Linked DNA regions of Schizosaccharomyces pombe. The gene in region 1 interacts genetically with each later gene. Each region holds a gene or a part of one and is shown in the gene's direction. Other genes may lie near its edges.

Region 1 (8,982 bases):
GGGTAAAAAACTGGATCGTCTATCAGTTGCATTTCCGAATCATTAATATACTCTGAAGAAGTTAATTTGTTAGCCACCTCTAAATTGATGGTGGATAGAGTTTTGTTAAATTCATCTTCTTTGGGAGTTGTTGCTAATAGAGATTTAGCTAAGATAGAGTCAAAATGAACATCTGCAGACTTTTGAGAATCAGATTCATCATTTAAGTTTTCGATATTTACGCTCGAATCATATTTGAGTTTTTGCTTATCAGATAAAGTATCTGTTATCGAACTGATTGTCTCAGTTTCTATGGGAAATGGGGAGCCTGGTGATGATCGATCATTAACGGTATAATCAGTATCGTCGCTATTATCATAAATATTTAAATCTTCGCCATAATGGATTTTGTGGTGTGCACGAAGTCTCCTGTTGGAAGTTGTTTCGTCTGTTTTTTCTAGCATTGCATCCTTCTCTCGTTGCTTAAGTATTACTGACCAGACATCTTCTTCATCAACAAGAACATTTTCTTTGACTTCATAATGATTGGAAGATATATGTTTGTTATCCCAAACACGAAAAAAGCCAAACTTATTGCTTTTTATATCTGATTCATCAGTTGAAGTATCTTCTTGTTTCTCAGCTTCTGAGATAAGTAATTCTACCGAATATTCATTATACTTAATAGACGGTTCATCACCAGCCTCTTCAAATAATGCACGAGCCCCATGCCGCAAGATACTTTCTAAATCTTTTTCTGAATTATGATTTTGATCCAATGACTCAACAATTAAGTGGTCCAATACAAGCTTCTTTTGAGCGTTTTGAATGATTTTTTCCTCTACAGAATCTCGAGTAGTTAACACAAAGACAAGTACCTTTTTTTTTTGCCCATATCGATGAGCCCTTGCAATCGCTTGCATGTCTTGATGAGGATTGAAATCAGGATCTAGTATAATAACAGTGTCCGCACTAGCTAAATTGATGCCAACTCCACCAGCACGGGTAGAAAGTAAGAAACATGACAACTCAGAATTAGGAGCATTAAAAGAGTCGATTGCTGACTGCCTTTCCATTTCCGATGAGGCGCCATCAAAACGTGCATAGGCTATGTTTTTATATTCAAACCAATCTTCAAGGATATCGAGTTGCTGGATAAATTGAGAAAACAATAATATACGATGCCCGCGAGTTATCAATTTCGGTACCAATAAGCGTAATATTAAAAACTTACAGCTGGCTTCTTCCAGTGAACGCATAGCAAGTTCATACGGGAGATTACGGTCTTCAATATCTGGTGAATAAATGTACGGATGAGCTAATGTTTTTCGAAGTTGCATCAAAATGTTGTTCAATGAAGTAGTCCTTTGCCCTCCAGAAGAACTGGTATTAGCATAGCCGGTAATATTACGTAGCAAAGACAAATTTTTTGAAAGAATCGATTTGTATAAACCTTTTTGAACAGGTGTCATGGACAAAGGAATAATTACTTCAACCTTCGTAGGAAAGTTATCCAGTACTTCGCTTTTCACTCTTCTTAAAAAAAACGGCTTTAAGATTTGATGAAGTTCAGTCACCTTTTCCGTATCAATAATGCTGTATCTTTTTTCAAGCTCAGCAGCATTTATTTTCATGGGATTTAAAAACTGCAGTAAATTAAAAAGTTCCCGAACATTATTTTGCAATGGCGTCCCGGTTAAAAGAAGCTTAAAGTCACTTTTAACCGAAGAGAGGTAATAAAAGAGGGAAGATTGATCATTTTTTAGTCGTTGTCCTTCGTCAACAATTAAAACTTTCCACTGAAATTTTCGGAGCAATGAAATTTCACGTTCAACATTTGAAGCACTTATAACGAGGACATGAGTGCTTACATGTTTTGGGTCTTTTTGATTGATTAGACGATAATCACGGACTAAACTTCTGTTTTTTTCAGAGCCCACGAGTACATTAATTTGTAGAAAGGGAGCCCATTTTTTAAGCTCTCGTTCCCAATTTGCAACAGTGGCATGAGGGACAATAACCAGTACCGGGAAGCATTTATGTCTGTAAAATAAAACACTAATGAAAGATATTACTTGTACAGTTTTACCTAAACCCATTTCATCAGCTAAAATACAAGGATGATGTGTGTACCATCGTAAATAAAGCCAGTTCAGCCCTTTCAGTTGATATGGCATTAGTGTACCACCTTTGATAAAACTTGGTTGAGAGTGCCACTCAAGATTAGTAAATGGTAAATCAATATTTATCGAAGCTGTAGGGGCTTTTTCGATCCATAGACATTCCAACAAGTCCGAATACCCTTTTAACCACGCTTTCCAGCGATTTCTATCTGTTTCTTTAGGAGGTGGTTCCCAATTTGACATATAATAAGTTAAACCACGCCAAGAAACAAAGGCGAATGTAACTTCAGAAATTGCCTTCAGTTGATGTTTTTTTGTTTTATATTTTGCCGTTCGAGCATTCTTTCCACTTCTATATTGAACATCCCAAACCTTATCGATTATTGTATACGATACTGGAATAATGGGCTTAGTTGCGTCGTATGAGGCATTCTCCAAACCATCGAAATTTTTCTTTTTAGCTAATGAAATACCGGCTAGCCATGAAGCAGAACACCAAAAACAGTGAAGGTAAGACTTACCTTTGCTTCGAACGAAATACTCTCTAGACCAAAAGCTCAAGTCCGATGTACTAACAAAATTATTTGAAAGGGTAGCTTTTGAAGGATATAAACTGTTTAGAGTTCTCCAAGCAATTATCTCTTCAATATCACAAGGATGCATAGAACATTCATTACAAACAAGTTTTTTTATAAAATGAGTAATTGTTCTCTGAATAGACAAAGGATTACTGTCCAGATAAAAAAAATATTCGACACGCCTACATCGAAAACACCGAAACCTTATAGACTTGCAGTAATTGACTAAAATTGACAGAGATTCCCTATCAGCAAGGGATGGGGGGATAACTAGATCCTGTCCAGAAGAAACGCCTGAAACAAACCCGGTATTACACAAAACGTCCTTAGAGTTTTTGGAACATAAAGGACATATAAAACCATTTTGCTGAGAGTAATTACGCGTTTCTTTATTTAAAGAAGGGAGTGGAGAACAGTCATAGTGGTATACATTTGAGCAATGATCACAGTAAACAAAATTTTTACCAGAGGAACGATGTTCACGTCCATGACATTTGACACATACACAGACGTGTAAAAATTTGATAAAATCAAATCCGTCAGAGTAAAGAAGTGAGAAATAAGGAGCTTTATTATCGTTTTCTGTGGACTCAATTTCCGAAGAACTTAGATCGGAGCTACCAAAGTCGGACGTGTCATTGAAAGATAAATGCGACAACGATAACTCATTATGCTCTTTTCTATTAACCTTCTTATTTGTATCAGATGAAGATGAAGTTGCACTGTCAGAAGCCGTTTCATCACTGACAAATGAAGGATTAAGTGCGCAGTGAAATTCCTTTCCGAACTTAAATTTCTTGGTACGTGTTGAGTCCCTTAAGACTTTACTACCATTAGACTTCAGTAAATAATCATTTTTCTCTTCCTCATCCTTATCGGTTGAAGTCATATACCCATGGTACCTCTTTCGAGATTTGTGTTTTAACCATACTCTTAAACAAGCTTTTCCATTTTTATATTTATCAAGTTCATCTTTTTTTATCAATGCTTCAACACCCGCCAAGAATTTAACACTCAGTGTGCTGTCATTTTCGTGCAGTATTTTTTGAACGGTGGTTTCAGACGCGTCATAATAAGGTAGTAAAACATCAAGCGGTTCACGACGTACTACTATTTTACATAAAGAATCATCTTCTTTTGGCATGCTTTGAGATGAATATCTAAATATTCTTGGTAAATACTGTGTATTTGGAGTTGTCCTTAAATTTCACTACGTAACGCAAAGAGAAAGAATTACCAGTAGTAAACGGTTATAAACAATAGCTATTATACAGTACATTAATAGTAACAAACAAGTTTTAATCTTTTAGATGTCATTTTAAGCACGTACAAACCTTTGATGACTTCTTTGACCCTGATGGTGGGTTTTAGTAAAATGGTTATTAGCATTCGAATGAGTACGCGCGCGTTGATGTTCATTTGTCTGAGGAAGAGATTGCTGCTGTTGTGTAAGTTGAGTGTTAGAAGAAGCTGTAGTCTGGGGAGCTGAAAAAGCTACTTGGTTTGTTAAATTTACAGCAGGCATCATAGGGACGAATGCAGCAGCATTCATAGCATTCATTCCTTTAGGAGCCATATAGGTATTTGCGGATACAATGTAGGGCGGTGGTGGACATCCTAAGTTAAAGACATTATATTTGGCTAAAATTCGGAATATTAGACTTCGTATTCAACAAAAGTATTATAAAGTAATAACTTACGAGGAAACGCATAAGCATAAGGAAGGTCTAGCGAACCATTCCCCTTTTTTAAAAATCCAGAGGATGCCCTTTCTTCAAGTTGTTTTTGGGCTTCTTCTTGAGCTACTTTCGTATAGTAGTCCTGAACATTTTGTATATGGGCTCTTCCAGCATTGTGTGCTTTTCTAACTGATTGGCTATCATGAGTGAGCCAAACTTGGCAGTAATCACACAAATCTAAGCATTAATTAGTTTTCAATTATTGTTATTCATCGTATCATACATCTTGGCATTTTAGCGTGTTTGGCTGTTGTTGAGTCTTGTAATAAATGTGAGCTGTGTTGAAACGCTAAAATGATTTAAAAAGAAATTAATGTCAATTAGCAACAACTATACAAAGAACGTTCATAGTTAAACATTGAATGTTAAATTACTGTTTATCTATGCTTTACAAAGTGTTGAAACGAAGCTCTCGAATTTTCAACTACTTTAAAATCCAACGCCTTGAAGAGTCGGGAAGGTGCAATCATTTAATATTTTAATATAATTAAGTTACTGCTGTACTTTCAATATCTCTTCACGATCAGGGCTTTTAAGTACCAGACATTCTTGGTTATGCATTAAGTGTTGCATTTGAGAGAACAATTGTAATTTGGAGTATAAGTTATTTATTGAATTTCATTTATTGTCATGCTCATTTCAATGAAATAAACTTCTCATGAGAAAGCCAGATATAATCCATGTAAGGTGAATACTCACACCTTAACCAAAAATTTTTTGCCTTTACTGAAACTATTAAATTTCCATTTGATAGTTAAATACTTGAAGTGTTTTATGTTTTATTTGCTTTTAAACTGTTAAATTGATTGGGAATATTGTGAAGTAAACTACTGGCCGGCTGTTAAGTGTTAAAGAAAACTGTGCTTGCCATTATTACATTGCTTGTCAATATATGGACATGACTGTTTCAAACCAAAAAGCAGAAAGTGATGATGGTTCAGACATCGACGATGCGGCCTTGTTACAAAAAATTAATTCTTTACCGATTGACCAGAGTATCACAAATTCGGTGAGCTTGGAAAAGCATGATTTTCAAGGAAGTGATGACCATGACTCCTCTACGGATCTTTCCGATAGTACTTTGGAAGATGTGGAAGGAAGTGAATGGGCAGACGTATGGATTGAAAAGTTTTTTTTTAATACTTTTTACTAATAAAATTTAGGTGAGCAGGGGTAGATACTTCGGGTCAGATCCCTCAGAAAGTATAGTTTGCCATAATTGTAAAGGGAATGGTCACATATCTAAAGATTGTCCTCATGTTCTGGTATGCATTTTGATCGGACATTGTTTTTTTAATAGTGTTACTAACTGTATTACAGTGTACGACTTGTGGAGCAATTGATGATCATATTTCCGTAAGATGCCCCTGGACTAAGAAGTGCATGAATTGTGGACTACTGGGTCATATAGCTGCGCGATGTTCGGAGCCGCGAAAAAGAGGACCTAGAGTTTGTCGGACTTGTCATACCGATACTCATACTAGTTCGACGTGTCCTTTAATTTGGAGGTATTATGTCGAAAAAGAACATCCTGTTCGCATTGATGTTTCTGAGGTTCGAAAGTTTTGTTATAATTGTGCATCTGATGAACATTTTGGAGACGACTGTACTCTTCCATCTAGATCAAATTATCCTGAAAGCACTGCATTTTGTGAAGCGAACTGTCCTTCTGGAAATGATGCATCTAACAAGGAGTTTTTTGAAACCCGTCGTAAAGAGTTTCAATTGGAGAGGCGAGAGCAGAATCGAAATCAAAAATCGTCGAAACAACGGCCTTTTCACAAACCAGGAAATTCTCTAGCATCTAGGCTGGGATCTAAGCCAAAAAGCTTTAAAAGAAAACATAGCCCACCTTCTGAGGAGAATGGCAATTTATCCTTTCATTCTTCAGATGGAAGAAAATTTACCAAAACTTCAAAAAAAAATCGTAAACGAAAATGGTAATTCATGTGCTGGTATTATTCATCGCATGGTGTATCGCTCTGCTCACATTGCATTGCACTCATTGATAATACTATCTTACTAAAATTTATTGGCAAAATCTAAAATATATGTACATTAATTTTATACACTCTCATTTGCTATGTTCGCAAAATTTGTAATGTTATTGACCTCCATCATCAAAATTAAATACAAGCTATGATAACGGAGTAAACCATAGTTAGAAAGCAAAACAAAAAAAAACAACCAAAATCGAAGATAACAAGGCAAAACAAACAAATTTGCTTTAGGGTAAATAATGACAAACCGCCCACCAGAGTCTAAAAGAATGTGACACGATAATTAACGCAAGTTTAAATAAGTGTTACATCTGACTCTTACAAAATAGCTGTTTTTAAATTAATCAAAAAAATTTATGAAAGGCTTTCATGCAAAATAAATTGGTGAAGAGCCTTACCACCAGGGACAAATGGATACACATGTTCCTTTTGGGCAACCAAAACTTCCATAAGCACAGGACCTTTAGTTGACAAAAACTCCTTCATTTTTTTAGCCAAATCTTCTCTCTTTTCTACACGTAGTGCTTTGATGCCCATAGCGTCAGCCAACTTAACGAAGTTGGGATTCTTTTGATGAGTATGAGAATAGCGTTTCTCATAAAACAAGTTTTGCCATTGAGTGACCATGCCTTGCTCTTCATTATTTAGGATAAGAATTTTAACTGGGATATCAAATTGACGGACGGTAGCAAGTTCCATACCAGTCATTGAAAATGAAGCATCACCATCAATATCTATAACAATATCTTTAGGTGCAGCAACGCTAGCACCTATGGCAGCTGGGAGACCAAATCCCATAGTACCGAGACCACCGGAGGTTACCAAAGAACTAGGTTTTGTCCAACGATAGAATGTAGCGGCCCACATTTGATGTGCACCGACACCGGTGGTAATAGTGACTTTGTCCTTTATGTCAGAAGTTTGTTTGTCAAGTTCTTGAATGACTTCTTGAGGCTTTACCAATTCACCAGGAGCGCTACGAGTGAAAGTGAAAGGGAAGCGTTCCTTCCATGTTTGAATTTGAGATAACCAGTCAAATCGGGAAGGAATTTTAATATTTTTAGTAGCAGAATCTAAAAGCTTTAGAGATTCGTATACATCGCCCTCTATTGCTTCAGTAGGTTGTACGACCTTACCGATATTTTTGGGTGAAATATCAAAGTGAATAATACCGCCACGCTCTTCGGCAGCAGCAAGACGTGCTTGAGGAGCAAACAAACTTACGTTACCGGTGACACGGTCGTCAAAGCGAACACCAAGAGCAAGGATAAGATCGGCTTCCTGCATGGCCATATTAGCGTATCCACTACCATGCATACCGAGCATATGCAAACTAAGGTCAGAACGTTCATCTACAGCACCAAGTCCAAGCAAAGAAGTAGTAACAGGAATTTGCAGCCTTTCGCTAAACTTGCGTAACAAAGTGGGGCATTCGGGATTAGCTAAAACACCATGCCCACAGAAAATCACAGGCTTCTTGGCTAATTTTAGTAAATTGGCAACACGATCGATCTTGGCAGTAACGTTCTTGGAGCCCTCTTCTAAGACTTCCTTCATTCTGCGATTCATTGATGGTACAGAAGACAGTATAGGAATGGGCTCCTTCAAAACGCTAGCAGTGACATCTTTGGGAAGGTCAACCAATACAGGGCCAGGGCGTCCAGAAGTAGCTATCTCAAAAGCTTCGTCTATACGACGGGGAAGATCAGCAACATCTTTGACCATTACATTCCATTTAGTACATGAACGAGAAATACCAACCATGTCAGCTTCTTGAAATGCATCACTACCAATTGCGCTGGTTGCTACTTGACCAGAGAATACAACTAGGGGAGTACCGTCGGCCAATGCATCAGCAATCGGGGTAATCACATTCGTAGCACCGGGTCCAGAAGTAACCAATACAACGCCGGGTTTTTTAGTAACGCGGGAATAAGCTTGGGCTGCATGTCCAGCAGCTTGCTCGTGTCTTGGCAAGATAAATTCAAAATGAGGAGATCTATAAATTGCATCGAAGACAGGCAAGATAGCACCACCTGGATAACCAAATACATGCTTAACATTATGCTTGAGCATCATATCATGGAAAATTTCACCCCCAGTCTTTCCAACAAACGAGCTGTCATATTTTATAGGACTAGCCGTAGTCACTGTAGAGGTGCTTTTGGTCGAATTTGCCCGAACGACACCGAATGCATTTTTTAATTTTTTAATTCTCAAATTATTACTAAAGCCGGTGCCATACCTCCGCACAGCTGAGCAACTATTTAAATTTAAAAATCTCTTTTGAAGGGCAATTTCTCGTCCATAAGACGAGAAAGCCGCCCTCGTATGCAATCTTCTAAGGGGAGCCAGCACAGTCATTATAAATAACTTTTAACCCTCAATTCCTTTCTAGAAAGAGCTATCTTTCAAGTTGCAAAAGATCGGTATGCTGAGCGGTATGAGAAGTGAGCAGGTTCATTTTTGCCTAAAAACATTGGTTGTTCACCACCACAAAAAAGATCAGATTTGTTAACGATAAGTACTGTACCCCGGAGATTAAATATACCGATGCATAATA
Region 2 (8,072 bases), on another chromosome or scaffold:
TATTCATTACTTTAAAAATTTATCGGCGCATAGCGCTTGGAGAATGCCGAAAATATTTGAGTCCAAGCCAATTAAAGAATAACCATACGAAAAAAACCACTGTACAAGTCAGAATTAATATACATGGATAATAAGAACGAATAGGTGAAACCTGTTAAAAATATTAGAACCAAATTTGTACAAGATAGAGAAATTAAAACATATTGGTACAATGACCCTGGCAGAAAATATTCGACGATGCCATTGAGATTTTAGCATCATAACTTACATCGCCATCAACATAAAGTGGTATCTCAACAAAGTTAAATATAGTCATAAGTCCAAATACAAATAAAAACCAACAGGTAAATAGCAGTAAGTATCCATTAGATACCATCGAACCCATCATTTTAACCGTATTGATAGGTATCTTCAGGCACGTTTTAAACAAAATATGATGAGTAGTAATTTAATTATAACCAACGAAACCTAACTAAATACCTTTTATAAAGAATCTATACTAGTTGTACAAGAGCAAACGTTTCGCAGAGACAACAAAGTAAAAGTACAGAATCTCCTCAAATGTTAAAGAAAAAAGGAGAATTAAAAGAAAAACATTAAAAGAAAGCCTTAAAAAACCGTGTTAAACTAGATCTGGGATAGTATTGCCCTATTTTGAAAGTTTTCCCGTTACTGGGATTTTATGAGGTCAAGGAAGCTCGCCTTTGAGAGCTCTTTGACTTTTTGCTCACGAGCAGTACGACCACCAGAGATGTTTTCTCTATTTAAAGAGCTTTGAAGTTGAGCAGTACGAACAGCATTGAATAATTGAACTACACCTCTGCGAGCAATACGGCGAAGCTCACGTTCATGGGTGAATAAAGCTTTTGCTGTTTCAGCGTTAACTGCAACAACGCTCGTAACACGACCAACCATCTCTTTTCTCAATCTTTCACGTCTTCTAGAAGTACGTAGTTTAGAGTCTTTTTTTTCCGCATTACTTTTTCGTAAAGCTTTTTTAGATTTTTTAGACAAACTTAGAACCGGCGTGTCTTGTTCATCAGTTTGAGTAACTTGTTGATTTAAGATATCAGCAATGTCATCAGCAATGGTACTTTCTTGAACTTCTTCTTCAATTTCATCTTCAGAACTATTGGATTGATAAAATTCGTCTTCGCTGTTCAAGTCTTCCAACTCTTCCTCAGAGTTTTCGCTATCATCTTTTACAAATTTTTTAGAGGAATCATCTTCTTGAGAGACAAATGATATATCTTCGTTTTTTATTTGAGATCTTTGTGATTTCGCCATTAATGTGTTGTTGTCTAAATTTGAAATTTTTTGACTGGAACCACCAAGTAAAGCATGGTCTCCAAAAAATGCACAATATCAATTTGAAGCGCCTAGTTCGTTCTAATAGAATAAAACTGATATTCTGTTTCTTTAATTATATAAAAAAAATTTAATTTTATTTTAGGTAGTTTAGTTCAATTTGGCGAACACTAAAATATTATAAATTTGCTCAGTATAATAGGAATGGGAATAATTGGAAATTTCTGACCAAAAAAACACTAATAAAGCTCAAAGCTTGATACGTTCATGCTTATGACCACGAACAGGGGCTACTCGTATTAAAGTAAAATAAACTAGAATGGGTTTCATCCAGTCTCAAAATAGGGCTGGGCTGGTAACACAAGAAACAAATGCTTAATAAAAGGTAATTATTAAATAAATATTGATGAGAGGGGGTAAGAATAAGAATTAGGAAAACCTAACAGCTGTGAGACAGTAATAATTAATATTAGAAATCATGCACACATCTCAAGGAAACTGATTAACCTTGGATTGTCGTTAAAAAAATAAAGACTTTGATCGTTTTCTTGAGTATATACACAACGGATAAATTAGTTCAGCCATTTGCGAACAATTTCGAAACTGAGGAAGGTAACCGAACTGGCAGGTATGGTGCGTATAAAATTTGTTGCCATGCCAGAGTAATATTTTCTCCAACCCTCTGAACGCCATATGTCTCGAATAAGTAAGGTAGCCGAGTTGTGTGTAGGTGCATCCAAACTCTGCAACCGAGTTCTCAAAACTTCATGAGGATAAGTGACGGTAGAAGCTGCGATTTTAGACAAAGTAGCTGCTAACACTATATGAAAGTTGCTTTTTTTACCAAAAAAATCATCCAAAAATGATTTAAAATATTCGTACAGTGGAAATTGGATGCCAACATGCAATGTACCAAATAAAGAGGGGAAAAGACCTCGGTAAAATGCTGCAAGGCCTTCGTATTTATAAATTTTTCGAAATGCGTCAAATGTGTTGTTGTATGCAGGTGAACATGCAGGGCCTGTGGGAGGATTCACTGGATGCTGTGATGGAGAAGATTTGACATTCGTCCTACGCTTGAGCCAAAAGCGAGGCATTCTCCATTTGACGGATGGTGCGTCCGTTTGAAGATTACGAAACTGGACGGTTGTAGCCGCAGCAATTTTATCTACAAAAGAAGAAGCCCTAGGATGTGATTGAGTGACTAACCTTGTTTTTACAACCCAAATGGGGTTAGTAAGAGTGACACTTGCAGCACCGGCGATAACCGCAGAAAAGATTTGACCACCCCAGTAACGATAAAATTGTTTGTCAGAACTATCTAAGGAAGCCTTGATGCCAACCTTGGACGAATCAATTTCGTGGAGAGAAGTGTATTTTTTATTTACCCCAAATAGCACTTTGCATTTTTCATAGACTACAAAATAAATGGACCAACTAGGAAGATAACCTAACATCATGGGTCCAACACCTCTATAAAGACCGGCGATGCCTTCATTGTGAAAAATTGTTCGCATCGAACTGAGGGTCCCACCCAAAACCATTGTATTTTTTCCACCACCAGTTGAATAAAAAGCCTTTTGTGCCTGCTTTCTTGTTTTTACTACATCTAAAGGTGCCACTACAAGAGAAGAGGCCAATCCAGCAGCTCCTCCTGCTATAGCATCCTTTAGAGAATCATCAACCATAAAGACGGATCAATTTCCTGATGATAATGCATGCATCTAAAGAAAACAGCAATTAAATAATAGACCTTGACAAATTCTTTACTTTTTTAGACGCTGATAAGAACGATCCAACGCCTTACGATGTTTCAAATTGGAAATGTATATATATTTTAGCGTTGATGTAAGAAGCTGTACAACAACATATATGTAAGTAAAGTGTTTGGCAGCCGTCAATAAGAAAGTCGAATCACTGTGCGGTAAACCACATTAACGACATGAATGTCTCCGAATTACTAATTGAGAGGACGTTCCATGCCCTTAAAAGAGAATTTCTTTTATATGTGCATATCAGATATGATTAAAGTCGTAATGCCCATTAACAATATATAATGGTGACATTGATGTTGCTAACAGCTTTACACACATATCTCAATTTTACTTCACAGATCAGTTGGCTTTATAAGCACCATTGGAACAGTGCTTTTGCTTTTGCTTTTGCTCGTATAAGTATTAAGAGGAAATTACTAATATAAAACCTTAGTTTTTCATTTTTTTCCAAGTCCAAACATATTGTTTTTATACATTAGCTTCTCTTGATTACCGCCAATTTCTAGTCGAAAAAATTATTTTTTTAAGAAATCCTACATTTGCTGAGAAGAAATGTTGAAAACGTAGTAACTACACAGTGTACCACTATATTGTTGGATAACTTTGTAAACTCCAACGTACTGTTTTGTCATACTCTTATTGTCAACTTTAGAAGCAAGATGTAGAATTAATATACTTGTAAATAACTGAAACACCATTTTTGTCGAGACTTAACTTCAAATATATTGACAGGTGATTGCCTCTATTGCCCTCATTGGAATAGTGCGTTGAACAATCAGACTGTAGCCAGGCTTATGGGACAATAATTCCTTCTTCAATTACTTATTGCTTTAGCAAAGATAAAGTGATTAAATTGGCTAACCGTGACAATAATGAGCTTTAAGTCTCAATTACTTATCCTTGCTCAGAAGCTGTCGAAAGGTGGTATTTCTTGTGAGTTGATTGAGTTTGATGAGTGTATTTTGAAGTTAGAATGGCATACTGAGCTACTTGATAAAAATGATTCCTTATTATACGAGCAGGAAGAAGATGATATTTTAAGCCTTATGAATCCAATGATCACTATGCACGCCTGGATTAGGGATTCTCCATCCTTCGAAGTCCCGCAGTTCTTCTTTCAACCTTATGCAAACGGATCAGATCCTCTTACCAAGATGGAACAGATTTTTGAGTTATTAGAAGGATCCAGTCAAAATTTAGCATATGACGCTCTTGCTATTGGGGACTGTCCAGGTACAGTAGGCATAGCATGGTATATCCATCCATGTCGTACGCGTGATTATTTCGAAATGCTTCAGATAGACAAAGAGGATCCCAAGTATCTCTCTCTTTGGTTGCTATATATTCATCAAGTCCTTTCTCCGCTAACTCAGCCTATAATAAAAGCAGTTGACGATGCCGAAAAATCCTAAAGATAACCTGTTATAAACGGGTATGCTTGCTAAGACTTTGTCTTATTAAATATTATTCCCCATGATTAAAACTAAATTAAAAGTCAATTTAATCCGTATTCTCTGGTTTTAGTTTATAATACCCTGTGAATCTATAGTAAAATTTTGACCTGTTATTTGACAGCAAAAACATTACGGATCTGAAGACCTCAATTGTAGAAAATAGCTTTTGTTCTTTAAATTTGTAGATAAAATACTATACTAATTAATAATCCTTCTGTTTTGACATATCATTCAACTGTTCCACTTAAACCTCTACTTGACCGCATTGATCTCTACACCAACAATTGTTTGTTAAGACAAACGAAACCGGGTTATATACTATTCCTCCTAACACACCTTAGCAACAAATATGGAACAAGTTCCTGTTCTAGCAGAAGATCAAAGGAATTTAAATGAATTTTCAGTGTTGCATTCTCGAAAGGCCATTCAAGAACTTGATATTAAGAATTTAAAAACGCAAATAGAGGATATTGTTGACGCTAAAAATGAATGTGAATTACTAGACGAGGATGATGGAGACGATATTCCAGCTTTAAAGGTTGGCGATGCCTTTTTCCAAGTTTCCCTTCCTGTACTCCTTGACCAGCTTGAGCAGTCAGAAGAAAGTTTGGAAAAGCAAGTCGACGTATTAAGATCTTCCATGGAAAAAGACGAAACCCGCATTCAAGAGTTGAAATCAATGCTGTACTCTAAATTTCACGATCAAATTAACCTAGACTAAGATTTGGAAAAAGCAGCAAATCTCAAAATTAGAAGCTTCATCTTATTTTTCTGAATTAGTTTCTTTAATTAAATAACATTTCATGCATTTAAATTTATTCACAATACCAAATCTGTATGCAATTAGCGCCTCCAATAAGTAAACTTCTTTGTTCACCCTAAGCCATTACAAGTATCCAACCACCACTATGGCACATGAGATTGAAATTGACTCGGAAGCTGACCTAGGTCGTACAACATTTGAGGCTGAAGACCTTTATAAGCAGAGAACTCCCATTACAAAGCCTCCGGCCCCTAGATTACAATCTCGTCGCGCATCCATGCAAGAGACGCCATGGACCATCAAAGATTCATTTAACGTGGAAACTAAAGATGTGGTTCAACGATGTATACATACTCTTATTCCCACTGTAAATTTCTTTGATGTTGTAGATGATCGTCCCGATTTATACGGTCCTTTTTGGATAACCACTACGGTTATACAGGCTCTATTCTTTTCCAACTCAATTACCGAATACGCTCGTTATGCCACAGGGCATGGTACAAGTGGCTATTCTATAAAAAAGTTGATCTCTGCAGCATCAATTATTTATGGTTACACTACCATTATCGCCGTTTTGTTATGGGGTATCCTAGTGTGGAACAAATGCAACCCTAAGTTACTCGACTGTCTGTGTTTATATGGATATGCTAACATTGTTTGGCTTCCCGTTTCTTTAGCAACTCCTCCGTTTGGATTGCTATCTACTTTGGCCTCCCATATTGTCAAATATGTACTTACAGGGATTGGTTTGTTAATTTCCATTGTGTTTTTAACTAGAAATTTATATCCTATCTGTCAGCAAGCCGGATCAAATTTGTGCAAACTTTTATTGTTCGGAATTATCGTCTTTCACTGTTTGCTCGCTTTGTCTCTTCAACTCATATTCTTCAGTTAATATCCTAATTTGTGAGGAGTTTCTTTTATCAGTCGCATTGCTTCATTCGAAAATTATACTATTCCCCTTCTTTCATTCTTTAGAAAAGTCATTCAGCATTTAAGATCCTATTGAGTCTAAGTGTTGGTATACTCTATATGATTCAGTTTATACATATATTCGCTTTACATTTGATTTTCTACTCTTTTTACTATAGCTACTAATGTTCCCTCAATTTACTAGGTTTTTTTTTCAGGTGCAAAATACGTATAAATAATCATTTCTTATGCATTGATGAATCATGCCTTAGTAAAAATAATTGTAGCCTTTTTAGTGAACCAAAGACTTTATGACATTTAGTCATATTTTTGCAATCGATCTCCCGTCATTTATATAGAAAACTTAACACATTATTACTCGTTGTTCAACAAAAAAGAGCTGAAGGTAAATTAATGGTGAAGCTTAACCTGAAAAGTACTTTTACGATTTCAAATTCAGATTTTTTTCAACAAGAGAAAAAAACTTTGTGAGATATTGAAAAAACGTTGAAATTTACGATGCATCACCACAATTTCAAGATTAAAAAGGAACACGTAAAAAGAGAAAAAGAAAAATACTGTGGATAGCAAAGTACATATGTATCGATTCACGGCATACATGAAGGGAGATAAACAAAGCACCCTTTTATCATTAGTCCTAAAAACTTTATTTCTGTCATTAATGGTTAAAATGGTGTGTGTATATAAGAATACAATCTGAAAGAAGAAGGTAAGAAAACTCTTATTCCCGGAAGTTCAATAAAAAAGGAACTATGTTCAGTCTATCCGTAGATCATAAAAACAAACCAAACTCCACATAAGGACATTAGAGCTTAGAGAAAACAAAAAGCTATTGAAACATTAGTAAACAAAAAGTTGATAAGCAAACGTACATTATTAGTAGCGGCGATGGCAACTGAGTCTTCAAAGGGATGCCAACTGGCATGTAATATCTTCTTATTGTAATCCAGGTTATCAGGATCAAGGCCAACAGAAGCAGATCCCATCGCAGCTTGAGGTTGTGACCGCCAATCATTATTTTTCACAGCATTCAACTTTGGAACGTTATTTGCAGCAGATTTTCTGGCTCTAAATGCAGCCTTGTCGGCTTGCAAAACTATCTGTCCTCTATCGCCAGGCAAAGAACTATCTGTGGGGTAAATCCCAAAGTTGTTGCTATAACTTCCTGATAAAACGTGTTTGTCGTCACCAGAAAAGGTACACTCGAATTTATCAAAAATACAGTCATTTTCATAGAGATCGCATAACTTTGATCGCAAAACATCATGCAATGGAATAGTTTTAACGGGAGCTTTTTCCATGTTGACATCCCATATCTTAAGAGTTAAATAATCTCTTGAAAGAATATAGCGGCCATTTTGTGAGAACTTAACGTCTGAAATGCTAGAGATGATTTCAGAAAAGAAACTCTTGGAATCTTGATCTTCTTGATCCTCGAAAAGCTTACATGGATTATCGCAGAGCGCAGATTGACGCAAATCTAAGAGTTTGATATTTCCCTTGCTGCTACTATACATGAGATGATTGCAGTTTATCGGGTGAAACTCGGCACTAGTAATAACTTCCGTAAGTTCTTCCATATTTTCAGGTTTAATGTCAACTATGTTGAATGAATGATCGGAGATGGACAAGTTCCATAAGTTGATACGTAAATCATCAGCGGAAATGTAAGTTTCTGCATCAGAGTTAACGCTAATCGAATTAATATGATATGCGTGTGCATTAGCGTAAACACGTCGTGGATATGCAGCGATAATCATGTCATGATGGTTGAGTCGTGGGAGTCGAAGTTGCGAAGGTGTTGTCAAAGGTCCTTGCATAGGACTGTGGAAACTGTCC
Region 3 (8,852 bases), 580 kb from region 1:
GGTTTTCTGAATCCTTGTTTACAAGCCAACTTTCGAGAGCTTGAAAATTGTCGACAAACCGACGAAATTCGTAAGATATAATCATGAGCGTAGGATACCTCATCGTACTCAAATGGAGCTGGCGTACGGGAAGCATCCATATATCGTATAAAATGGAGCACTTAAACTCAGTGTGAAACATATAGTCATTATATAAGGACTTGGTAGAAGAACCGGAAATGAATGCGCAAGTAGCGGCACCAAAAGAATGACCAGCAACAATCAATTCTCCTTGAGCGGTATTCAAATTACCCTTCATGGATTGGAAAACAGAATTATAAAAAGAAGAGTCCACAGAGCAAAGAAAGGGTAAGTTTTCGTCCGGAGTTCCAAGGTCATTGATATTTCGAATCATCTGGAGGGCTATTTGGATTTCCTGCTGTCGAAATAAAAGTCGTTCATTCTGAAGCACAACCGTAGCGTCTGCATAAAAGTCGCTTATCTCGCGATACTGAACAACGTACGGGGGTTCTTCAGGATGTAATGGATCACGCACTGTAGATATGATGGCCGAGTTATCTCTATGCTCCATGGCCAAGACGACGATACCATAGGAAGCGATTGTACCACATAACGAAGAATACACATTTCTCGAGCCAACCAATCCATGGCTGAAGATAAATACTGGCAGTTTCCCATTGTTCGGTGGATGAAACAACTCTCCTTTGTAGACGGGCAAAGCTAAGTTGGTCAAACCAGAAGCGAACGCACGAAGAAGCCACCAACGAAAACCTTTCGCAACTTCGGGTATACCCTCATGGAATGGTAACCAAAGCTCATCGGTGCGAGGCTCTACATCTTTTGTTGGGTCCAATGGATAAAAAATGCGTACTTTTACGGTTCTTAGTTTGTGTTCAATGGTTTTATATTCACATCGAAATTCCTCTGGAACACTCAGCTCTAAGACTAAAGACCCCACAGGCAAGGGACCACAGTAGGCAGGTAATTGCTTTTTCGAAGAAAATCCCAATCCCATTTCTACCTAACAAATAAGAATGTAATGTAGAAATATATAAATTTATTTTATTTTAAAGAATGAAAGATTGTGTCAAAAACGATTCAATCAAATTACAAGAGCACAGTGATGATGTATTGTTAATTGCTATGATCACTGTAGTAGGAATAGAATGGAATAATGCCAGAAACAAAAACAAAATATCTCTTTCGTTAACAAGCACTTATAAACATAAATAAAAAAAATAAAATTAATAAATTTTTGGCCTTGCAAGGTAATATGAATCTGTCTGCTGCAAATTTTAATTTTTGGTACGATTCGTACGATTGTGGTAGAAGAAGGAAGACGATGGAAATTGACGAGCATCTATATATAAAGTAAGGGGTTATGATGAAAGATGTCCTTTTAGCCGGTTCGTTTTTATAATGTACAAATCAAAGCAATTGACTCAATAATCAACTTTTGGCATAGGAAAAGGGTTACTTGCACAGCAATTCGAGCTTAAACCGCTTCCATTTGGAGGTCCATCTCCTCGGTCAAATTACTATCTTTTGAAGGAGCAACAGGCTCGTTTTTCTCATGAGCATTGGCTATTGACGGTGTGAAATCCTGTGATGAGTGAGATGACACAGTTGAAGCAGCGTGAAATGACATTGCGTATTCGTCAAGTTCTTTGTCTAAATCTTCGTGTGAAATTGAATTATTAGAAGACTTTTTTGAAGAAGAACGAAATGATCTGTCGTCTTTTTTTGAAGAACGGTTGAATCCTCGGTTCGAACGAGAAGACCGGCTTGGTTTGCGGGCTGAATGTGGCATGTCGGAAATCCGATCGAATAAGGAAGGTGGAGACTTTTTCGAAATTTGAATTTCGGAGCCCTTCAAGTTCGTAGATTGAAGCGTCTTCTGGGCATCTTCAGCATCTTGGGAAGTTTCAAAGTAAACATCGCAGGAGCCTTCAGAGCGACCTGCACGATCATAGTTCATAATCACGCGAATTGGATGGAAATTTTCAAACAAAGACTTAAGAAAAGGTTAGTTTATTAATAAAAAAAGCGATTCGAAATCGGAACAAAGCTCTACTTAGCTTGACAGGGAGATTTTTTGTCAGGTTCGTTTCATAATCTTCAATCGAAAACTAAAAGCGAGGCTTTTGAAAACATAGTAAACATATATCACTTACCAAAACATCTTTTTCCAAAACCTGATAATGTAAGTTTTCCACACGAACCCCAAATCGATTTTCTGAGCTAAGATTGCTGTGTTAGTATATAATGATAATAACAGTGCATGTAGACTAAGAGCTAATAGAGTAATAAAAAAGTTTACAGCTTATCTTATAAATTCAAAACATACTGTTGTCTTTTCTGTAGGTGAGTGGTCCTTGGATGAGCATCCTGCTCTTGATCCAAGTCATGCTGCCACGGGCCATCGTCTGGACTAGAGTTGTGTTCTTTTGATGCTCTTTTGAATTTGTAGGTCTTAAAAAGTAAAAAATTAGTAAATAAACACTTAATCCTCGAAATTAGCATACCAATCGCGATTTTTTGGAAATACGATTTTGAGATCCCCTTCGCCGACTGTGCTTGTGATCAAAACCATTCTAGGATTGTTAAAACAAATATCGAAAATAAAAAAATTTACCGTTCTTTCATTTATAATTTCGTCCAAGGACTTTTCCAGCGACATTTGAAAATTGGTACTTGGCACGAAAATGTCGACTGGTAAAAATTAACCCGGGGCATTCCAAAAAGGAGATTTCCATACCAATTGCAGATTTTCCTGACATAAATTAATATATGCACCTCTTTTTTTATTGTTTTTTAGCTCTCCTTATTTTTCATTCATCTTGCACTACGGTCCTAGAAAGTGTATCTTTCGCCAACAACCCATCGTCTTTCTGCAATTGCTGTTTTCCTTACATTTAAACAAATTCTTCTAATTACTTTCTTATTCTTAAAATATTCAATATTCTTTAGTTGATTTAAATTTTTGGGTCCATCTACCAATAGTTTGTTAGACTTTGCCTTCAAACATGAATTTTCGTCCAGAGCAGCAATATATACTTGAAAAGCCTGGTATTCTTCTCTCTTTTGAGCAATTGCGCATTAACTTCAAACACATTTTGCGGCACTTGGAGCATGAATCGCATGTGATCAATTCCACATTGACAACGTTGATCAGTCAAGAGAATGCATCAATGGATGAAAAAATAGAAAAAATAGATTCTCTCCTTTCAAGAGTCAGTACTGTAAAGAAGAAGGTAAGTTTGATTGATTCTTTTTTTGAGTTGGATATTTGTAACTTACATGGTTCTTTGTGTAGATGAAGCATTTGCATGATTGTGAAGCTCTGTTTATCAAGCAAACTAAGTCACGACTGTTGTTCATGAATCGTCTTCAAGGAATTCGTGACATGGAATCTGCGGATTTTTTAGATTGGTCAAGAGTCAGACTGAATCGTTTAGTTGCTGATTATATGATGGCGAATGGGTACCATGGGGCAGCTGCTCTACTTTGTAAAGACTCTCAGTTGGAGAATTTGGTTGATTTAGGCATATATAAGCGTTATCAGCTCATTCACGATTCCATTCTTCAACAGGAGCTCAAAGAGGTTTTGTCTTGGTGTTCGGAGCATCGAGCAATTTTAAAAAAAAATAATAGTACATTAGAGCTTGAGGTCCGACTACAGAGATTTATAGAATTAATAAAAAGTAAAAAACTTTGCCAAGCCATTGCATTCGCCAAAGCGCACTTCGGTACTTGGGCAAATGAACATCCTGCTCGACTACAGCTAGCGGCTGCCCTACTAGCTTTTCCTGAATTTACGAATGGTTCACCATATTCGGTAAGTTTACATTGAGAGACCTCTGCTCTTAGCTTATACTGACAAATTAGTTGCTTCTATCCGATGACCGATGGGAATATTTGGCTTCCTTGTTTACCAGCAATTTTACTGCCGTTCATAATATACCGTCTGTACCTCTTTTACATGCATTGTTAGCTGCTGGTCTATCTTCCCTGAAAACCCCGTTGTGTTATCTTGACGCGAATGATGATAATCCTTTAGCATTACAATCCCAGACTGTGAAACAATGCCCTGTATGTACGCCCTGCTTAAATGACCTTGGCAAAGCTCTTCCTTATGCCCATATTACTCAGTCTGCGATAGTGGATTCTCTGACAGGCGAAGGACTTGACAGCGACAATTGTCCTGTTGCTTTCCCGAACGGTCGAGTTTATGGTATCCAGAGCCTCATAAGTTGGAACGAAGCTAATGGGACTAGAGAAGGATTTCTTAGAGACCCTTATTCTGGCAAAGAGTTTCCATTCCAACTTCTTCGTAAAGTTTATGTGGTTTGATACTGTTTATTCTATAACGCATTTTCTGTGAGTTAAGGATTTACACTTTTTATGATGACGCTACGAGATTTATATGTTTATCTTTAATAATGATAGTAATTTATATTATTAAATTCACTTCCAGTATCCACCTTTACCATAGGTTATCCCTCAATCATGTAAACCCAAAACCTAATTAAATATACCTATATAAGATGCCCCAAAAGGAAAAGCATAAACCGAATATAGTAATCAATATCTTACTTTATTTTCCTTTTTTCACGAGCTACGTGTTCTCGTAAAACTTTTTGCTTTTGAACAAGACTTCGTCCAGCTTTACCTTTTAATTTATGCTTAATCATCATAAAGTTCTTGTTACGTTGTTTTCTTTTGTTAGAAAGACTTGTTGGGTTAAAACCTGCCTTTTTAGATGAAAATTTATCACGTCCTTCACGTCCTTCCATGACACTAGCAATACGGGCTTCTCGGTCGTTCTTAGCCTTTTTTCTAGGACCTTCAATTTCATCAGCCTCAACGGCATCGTCTGGCCTCTTTAAAGAACGCTTAGGTCCATTGACGAGACGATCAACACCCGCTTGCTCCCTAAGCTCTTCCAACTTTTTCAAGTCATTAGGTGTCAAAATAGATTGAGACGCAAGCTCGGTCATTCTATCAACTAGTTCCTTTTGTGAAGAAGATCCTTTCTCATCTGATTCTTTTCTTGCAGTGGCCTTCTCTTCCTCTTCATCGCTGTCACTTAATTCAATATTGTCATCACTATCGACATCGATCCAGCCACCACTATCATCAGAATTCTGTCCATCTTCTGAAACTTCCCAATTATCCCAATCGTCTCCATTTTCTCCTTCTTCTCCGTGTTCAGCTTTATACTGAGCTAAAAGTTCCAATCCTTGGATTCCGTGGGTGACGTTTAACTCCTCACCATACTTCAAAGGTGTACGATCTTTCATCTCAATAGAAGCAAGCTTACCACGATCCTTTCTTTTCAACATGTCGGGAGCAACTTCACGATACAGAGTGATGAGACTACGACTAGCCATCATAACACCTTTATCCTTACTAGATTTGTACTCAGTTAGATCCTGAAGAAGGTCGGGAGTCATTGCCAAAGGCGCACGAGCACAAACTTCACGAATAGCATTAATACCAGCACAAACAACCTCATTGGCGACACCTGAAGTAACGAATTCGTCGGCAATTTTTCTAACTAACGGTTCAAGCGCATCTGGAGGTACGAATTCATGGGAAGCTTGAGCGAGACATGCTAAAAACTGAGTAACGTCTCTCTGGTGGGGTGTCAAATATTTCATTAAAAAAGAATAAAGACCTAGGACTGTAAGTTTGTGAGAACCTACCAATCTGGTAAGGAGTCGAAGGACCACCAGTTTTTGATCCATTGACAGACGGCTTTTTGAGCTAGCCAAGTGCTTTTCAAAAAGTTCTTCGGCAAATCCTTGAGGGTCATGAAGAAGCTGTAAAGCCGGAAAGTTAACGTTTGTGGGGACGTTTTGTTTTCCTCGCTCTTTCTTCTTTACAACTGCGCGAGCACGAAGCAAAGCAGCCTCACGGGATTTTGTCTTTTTATTTACATTAGCTTGATGCAAAAGCTTGGAAACATCTGGACCCTCATCATCAGATTCCTCCTCCTCTTCTTGATTGTCAGCACCTAAGAAAAAGTAAATCCCTGCAAGCATAACTTTGGGGTTTGATGATAGTGCGGCAGATTTCATGATGTTTACGGCACGTGCATCACCGGACCAAACATTCCTTTTCCATAAATCACGAACCATTTTGACAGCCCAAACACCTGATAATTCACTTGCTGAATATTCTCGCTTTTGTCCAGAATAATCAGTATGTGTTGCTGAACCACTACCCGAACCGTCAACCAAAGTAAACAGAGCAGACTGAACAGCTTTATTCAACTTATCATTTTTGGCTTGTTTATTGGCATTCCGAATGGTGAGAGATACCTGTTGATACAAAAGTTCGCGAACACCACGAGTAGGATTTTCACGGAAAAGCGGGAAAAAACATTGTAGTAATGTAATAGGAGATATTACTGTTTTATTTTTTAACAGAACAAGGCATAAAACGATTTTTTCACAAAGTTCGAAAGGGAATATTGTGTGGTTTTTTTGTAATAGCTCAATTAATTCGCTAGGAAAGTCGGCAGTAACATCATGATAATAATTACAAGTTTGGGAAATGAAATCGATTAATGAACAAAATTCGGAAATGTCTGAAGATGGATTAACAAGAAAAATTTCGCGCGCGGTTTCATAGTGATTCCATTGCTGCAAAAATTCTTCTCTGTAGGATTTTGGATCCTTTTTGACCAGATGTTGTAGATGAGGAAGATTGTTAGGTAAAACAGCAGCAGTGCGTCTTTTCACCATATTAATGTATCTTTGTGAAAATATAAATCATAAACTAGTACAAATAATCAATTAGTGTAGCAATACCAGTAACAGGCGAAAAAAGCCCTTAAAAAAATTTTTAACCGGGATATAATAAACAACCAGCAAGCCCAGGTCTAGCAATATAGACTGCTTATTTTTAATAAGTATTAATCAATTCTATTAAAAAAAGTGATAGACGAGTAAATGGGATATTGCAATCACAATTTATAACTGAAAAATGAAACAAAAAAATTAACGGTAGAAATTTAAGCTAAGAAGCAAATTTTCAATAATACTTATGTAAACTTTAGGAAAACAAACAGAAAGAAAAAAATTCTTGCTTTAAGTGAATCAGACTTGTTTTCCAATTAGTGTTGTTGTGGTTGGTTATAGACAAGCAATATTTTGCACCAGCGATAAAGTACCTGCTCTTTGCCTACTTTATGATTATGAGTTCCCAACAAGAGAAAAAGGATTATGATGAAGAACAATTAAGGTTGATGGAAGAAGTTTGTATCGTTGTAGATGAAAATGATGTCCCTTTAAGATATGGAACGAAAAAGGAGTGTATGTTTGATTGTTGGAGATTTATAATGAAATTGAAGGAAACCCATTCTAACAAGCCTTTTAGGTCATTTGATGGAAAATATAAATAAAGGTCTTTTGCATAGAGCATTCTCTATGTTCATCTTTGATGAGCAAAATCGCCTTTTACTTCAGCAGCGTGCAGAAGAGAAAATTACATTTCCATCCTTATGGACGAATACATGTTGCTCCCACCCATTGGATGTTGCTGGTGAACGTGGTAATACTTTACCTGAAGCTGTTGAAGGTGTTAAGAATGCAGCTCAACGCAAGCTGTTCCATGAATTGGGTATTCAAGCCAAGTATATTCCCAAAGACAAATTTCAGTTTCTTACACGAATCCATTACCTTGCTCCTAGTACTGGTGCTTGGGGAGAGCATGAAAGTATGTGGTTGATCCGTGTTTCTCTTTATTGAACACTTGACTAACGGACATTCTAGTTGACTACATTCTTTTCTTCAAAGGTAAAGTTGAGCTGGATATCAATCCCAATGAAGTTCAAGCCTATAAGTATGTTACTATGGAAGAGTTAAAAGAGATGTTTTCCGATCCTCAATATGGATTCACACCATGGTTCAAACTTATTTGTGAGCATTTTATGTTTAAATGGTGGCAGGATGTAGATCATGCGTCAAAATTCCAAGATACCTTAATTCATCGTTGCTAAAGTCTTTAAATTTTACCAGAGATAAAGAAAAATAGAGCTATGAATTGTGGTATGGCTTCCTTTTTCTCCTTTTGTTGCTCAAAGCATACATTTGTTTGGGTGGAAAAGTTAATATTAGATGTTCCAAATTTCTTTGCACCACACTTCTTCGTTCTTTAAATTTTTGCTTCAGTTTTTTTACTTCATCAATGTCTCCAAGAGCATATTGTAAATACAATTTTCTTATCTTTTTTATTTGTTGCGTAAATGAACCGTTAATTCGTAAATGTATTTTTAAAGGCTGCTCTTAAAAATTTTTTTGTTTGTTTATTAAAAAAATTTGAATGCTATCCTTTCTAATAAATAAAAACTGTAAATTCAAAAATATTAAGGATACAGGGTTATACCTTGTTTTCCACATTGCGACACATGTTTTATATATGTAGTTTATTTATTTATTTATTATTGACACTACATTTACCAACATTAACATCAAGCTTCAATTTCGCACAAAAATTCCCTTCAAATGCTTAAATCTTATACCGTACAAGTTACTTTAATCAGTTTATATTGGAGTACTATTGTTTACGGAAAGTAAAATACATCAAAAAAAATTTGATGCTTGAAAGTAAAAAAGATGCTCAGCATTTTATAAAAGAAACCCCGAATTTTAAAAAAGAATGGGAGCTATATTCTGCATGCAACTATACTAAATAACAGTAATGTGGTAATAGGAACTACCTGGTTTCAATTTTTTGAACTGATAAAATTTCTAATTAATATTTGACAATCGTTAACCTTTTATTCGTACGTAAATAGAATTTATTTGATTTGTTATCATAATTGTAAATCGCGATTCAACCGT
Region 4 (3,176 bases), on another chromosome or scaffold:
TCAAAGAAAGCAATGAACAACTCACTAATCATCTAAGCAACGAAAGAGAAAAAAGAATAGAAAAAAACGTCTATTAACAAGTTAACCAAAAACACTAAAATACTACGTATAGCAATTTCAATCTTCTCGCTATGTCCTACAGACAACCAACTCATGGTTACGTATAACTATACTAAAGCAGTGGTACTCCATCCTTATGCAACAATTCTACAAATGGAAATTTTACAAGACACAGATTTTAACGTACTTTTAAAGTATCTTACCTTTATTTAGATACGCTTAAAATCTCTAACCTTTTTTATCATCCTTTTTCTTTACCAAACTGGTTTACTTGTTTCTTTCCTTGGCAAAAACCGAGCTACGCAATGATCGGCAAAGTAAATATCCATTTTCACCGACAAGATATGGTACTCACTAAGTAATTTCCATTATGTAGCAACAATAACTCTTCCTATACATTTTTGTTGCCTACAATCCCATAGACTATGTCACGTTGCACTCTTCCAAAAAGGACTACCCCAGAAAGAGAGAGAGATATGAGGAAAAAAATTTTTGCTTCTAAATAACTAGAGCAAACAAGTCCCACTGTTGTCAATCGTCGGGTACAGCACAATAATCTCACTAGTAAAAACATGCCATATTCATCTCTGTTTTACCAAAATAGAAAATCAACCTTACATTGCATAATATAGGAATACGGAAGCGAGCCCTATACAGATGGACTGGGTTATGGCGGTTATAGACAAAGGCGCTTTCAAAACCATAATGGATTTGAAACGCTCAAGTAGTGGAAAACACATAATAGTAAGTATAATGCCAAATCCTTTGTAGAAAATACACAGACCTTTTTATTGAAATCGTGAATATGATTCTTTTTTTTTTGGTGATCTCTTTTCTTATTAATGCTATATCTTTTGAATTTATTTGTTTTTTCTTTTATTTAGTAGTATTTTTTTTGCATTTTGTTATTTATCTGTTCGCTTTTCTGTTGTACATGTAATAGTTGCAACGTACAGACAAATTAAATTTTTATTATTCTTATATTTTTTATTATTTCCAAGCTTATCACATAAATTACGATTAAAATACCTAAAGTGCAAAATATGATTTCCAAATTGATGATTCAATCAAGCAAAATAATTTTCTTTTGAGATAAGGAAGAATTTGTTAAATAATCAAAAGCACAATTTATAAGGTACAACGATTTTGAAAGTCGCTAGTATATATGTACACAAATCTTGTTCTGTATTCCGTGACAGGCTTTGTATTTGAACAAAGTATTGCCCAGCTAGACAAAAATCGTTTGGGCAACAAAATTTTAAAGTAGCAAGAAATAGCTTCAAACAATTAGTTGATGCTTGAAAAAATACAAAGAAATTTTTCTTACCGAATTTTTTCCAGAAACAACGATACAATACTTATATAGGTGAAATTTCCCGAGAAAGCTTTTTAAATTCCCCAACTTGGAATTCCAAGGTTGATTTATCAATAAGTAATTTCTTTACAAAAACGAATGATTTTTAAATGTCTGTAATTTATGCCTTTAGCATAATGTTCATCAATAGATCAGGAAATTCGTTTACTCATCTCTAGCTTATTGTTTACTAATTAAGGCACTATACTGATCATAGTCGCTCACAGTGTGTATTGGCTTTTACGATAATGATACACTCGCTTTTCCATCACTTACCGCAAAATAATGAGTTACAGCGAAAGAAAATTGCACTTGTCAAAGACAAACTAGCTTGTCATAAACACCAGTGCCTTCCCCATCAAGCAAGGAGGAATCCCAATGTCGGCAATAGGGTCTTTGATATTTTGCTCAGAATGCGGTAACTTGTTGGAATCGACTACTGCCCAATGGACTACTTGTGATCAGTGTCAATCCGTTTATCCTTCTGAGCAATTTGCCAATTTGGTAGTGGAAACGAAGAGTAGTGCAAGTGCTTTTCCTTCTGCTTTAAAACTCAAGCACAGTATCGTTCAAGTAGAATCTCAGAAGGAGGAGGCAGCAACGGTATGTAACTTATTTTTGTCTATTCTTTTCGAATCCTTTTTTTCATGTTGGTTGTCATTCTTCTTTCCTTTTAGGCTTTGTATCATTTGGAAAACTTTTTTTTTTTTAAGAATGCATTAGGAGAGTCTAATCAAGGAACTTTTTTGTATCATATATCCAGTGAATTGAAAAATCGGCACAGTCAGGCAAAGGACTTTATCATAGTCCTTTTTTGGGTTTATTGCCATACTAACAAAGTTTTGTAGATTGAGGAAAAATGTCCAAAATGTGGAAACGACCATATGACTTTCCATACTTTGCAATTGAGGTCTGCTGATGAAGGTTCTACGGTGTTTTACGAATGTCCTCGATGTGCTTATAAATTTAGTACAAACAATTAGATTGAGTTTTCATCTGTTAATCATTCTTTTGGTTGTGATTTTCTCAATATTTCACTGTTTCTTACGCCGTTCTTCATGTATGTATGCTGACTGATTTGTATGAAGACTATTGTTTTTAATATCTTCGATTGTCCTTCTGCTTCCGTTATTTTCATGCTCGATAAATTTTATTTGTCTAGTAATACGGCAACGTTCATGAAATAGAAAGAGATGCTCTTGATATCCGATTTTCTTGTTTTGTCTTCTATTTTATCCAGGTGTTAAAAAAAATAACAGTTCTTCTGTTCTTGTTGGTTCTATTTTTCGGGGTTACTTTTTGTTTAAAAAATAATATGGTATAACTTATTCCTTTATTCATTATTGTCTTTCCTGGTTCAAACTAAATAGAGAAAATTCATTGTCTATCACGATTGAACCTGTGGATACTTCCTTTCTCAGAATTTTTAAAGAGTTTGAGTTTCAATGTTTATCAGCATTTTATGAATAGTAGTATATCGGTTATTTATTTCTTTTTCTCTAATATGGAAATGAATGTGTAACGAAATGGAGCGTACTATGTACCGTAACACTCAAGAGCCCAAATGGGCAGGTAGGTGTTCAACCATTTGAAATATATTCTCACCTGCCTTTTCACATATGGCGTCTGTTAAATCCTTTAAACGAAAATATTTAAAACTTCGAAAGTCATTTGATTCGGTAGTCCTTGAAACAGAGGAAATTGAACAAAAGATTGCTGAAATATCAGAAGTTTATCGCAGAATTTTATTAGAAAATGCGTA

Evidence for each region.
Region 2: mutations in air1 (region 1) and pfd4 together harm fitness more than expected from each alone (negative genetic interaction), as found in Schizosaccharomyces pombe (2 studies listed by BioGRID).
Region 3: mutations in air1 (region 1) and gid9 together harm fitness more than expected from each alone (negative genetic interaction), as found in Schizosaccharomyces pombe (2 studies listed by BioGRID).
Region 4: mutations in air1 (region 1) and rpa12 together harm fitness less than expected from each alone (positive genetic interaction), as found in Schizosaccharomyces pombe (2 studies listed by BioGRID).

Annotation. Positions count from the first base shown.
Region 1 is NC_003423.3:976,910-985,891, reverse strand, and holds air1 (TRAMP complex zinc knuckle subunit Air1), read left to right. Parts: upstream 1-5,123; 5' UTR 5,124-5,311; coding exon 5,312-5,533; intron 5,534-5,582; coding exon 5,583-5,684; intron 5,685-5,739; coding exon 5,740-6,363; 3' UTR 6,364-6,534; downstream 6,535-8,982. Other genes in the region: SHREC complex ATP-dependent chromatin remodeller Mit1, read right to left, coding at 1-3,824; U1 snRNP-associated protein Usp103, read right to left, coding at 3,999-4,321, 4,381-4,596, 4,643-4,652; ilv1 (acetolactate synthase catalytic subunit), read right to left, coding at 6,774-8,783. UniProt on the Schizosaccharomyces pombe protein: Component of the TRAMP (TRF4) and TRAMP5 complexes which have a poly(A) RNA polymerase activity and are involved in a post-transcriptional quality control mechanism limiting inappropriate expression of genetic information.
Region 2 is NC_003424.3:501,098-509,169, forward strand, and holds pfd4 (prefoldin subunit 4), read left to right. Parts: upstream 1-4,811; 5' UTR 4,812-4,886; coding exon 4,887-5,258; downstream 5,259-8,072. Other genes in the region: SPOM_SPAC227.19C (uncharacterized protein), read right to left, coding at 20-151, 269-388; rRNA processing protein Rrp15, read right to left, coding at 670-1,287; yea6 (NAD+ transporter), read right to left, coding at 1,881-2,996; atg10 (autophagy C terminal domain family protein), read left to right, coding at 3,956-4,495; yip5 (Rab GTPase-binding protein), read left to right, coding at 5,446-6,195; serine/threonine protein phosphatase PP2A regulatory subunit B-55 Pab1, read right to left, coding at 7,039-7,062, 7,106-8,072.
Region 3 is NC_003423.3:399,670-408,521, forward strand, and holds gid9 (ubiquitin ligase complex subunit), read left to right. Parts: upstream 1-2,864; 5' UTR 2,865-3,026; coding exon 3,027-3,254; exon of another isoform or gene 3,255-3,316; coding exon 3,317-3,838; exon of another isoform or gene 3,839-3,888; coding exon 3,889-4,353; 3' UTR 4,354-4,544; downstream 4,545-8,852. Other genes in the region: plg7 (1-alkyl-2-acetylglycerophosphocholine esterase), read right to left, coding at 1-1,015; tho4 (THO complex subunit), read right to left, coding at 1,496-2,014, 2,175-2,241, 2,348-2,472, 2,526-2,594, 2,636-2,680; SDA1 family protein, read right to left, coding at 4,593-6,752; isopentenyl-diphosphate delta-isomerase Idi1, read left to right, coding at 7,199-7,322, 7,387-7,725, 7,782-8,008. UniProt on the Schizosaccharomyces pombe protein: Component of the GID E3 ligase complex recruiting N termini and catalyzing ubiquitination of proteins targeted for degradation.
Region 4 is NC_003421.2:1,038,341-1,041,516, forward strand, and holds rpa12 (DNA-directed RNA polymerase complex I TFIIS subunit Rpa12), read left to right. Parts: upstream 1-1,759; 5' UTR 1,760-1,792; coding exon 1,793-2,017; exon of another isoform or gene 2,018-2,262; coding exon 2,263-2,397; 3' UTR 2,398-2,676; downstream 2,677-3,176. Other genes in the region: Ino80 complex subunit Iec3, read left to right, coding at 3,034-3,173. UniProt on the Schizosaccharomyces pombe protein: DNA-dependent RNA polymerase catalyzes the transcription of DNA into RNA using the four ribonucleoside triphosphates as substrates. Component of RNA polymerase I which synthesizes ribosomal RNA precursors. Required for growth at higher temperatures.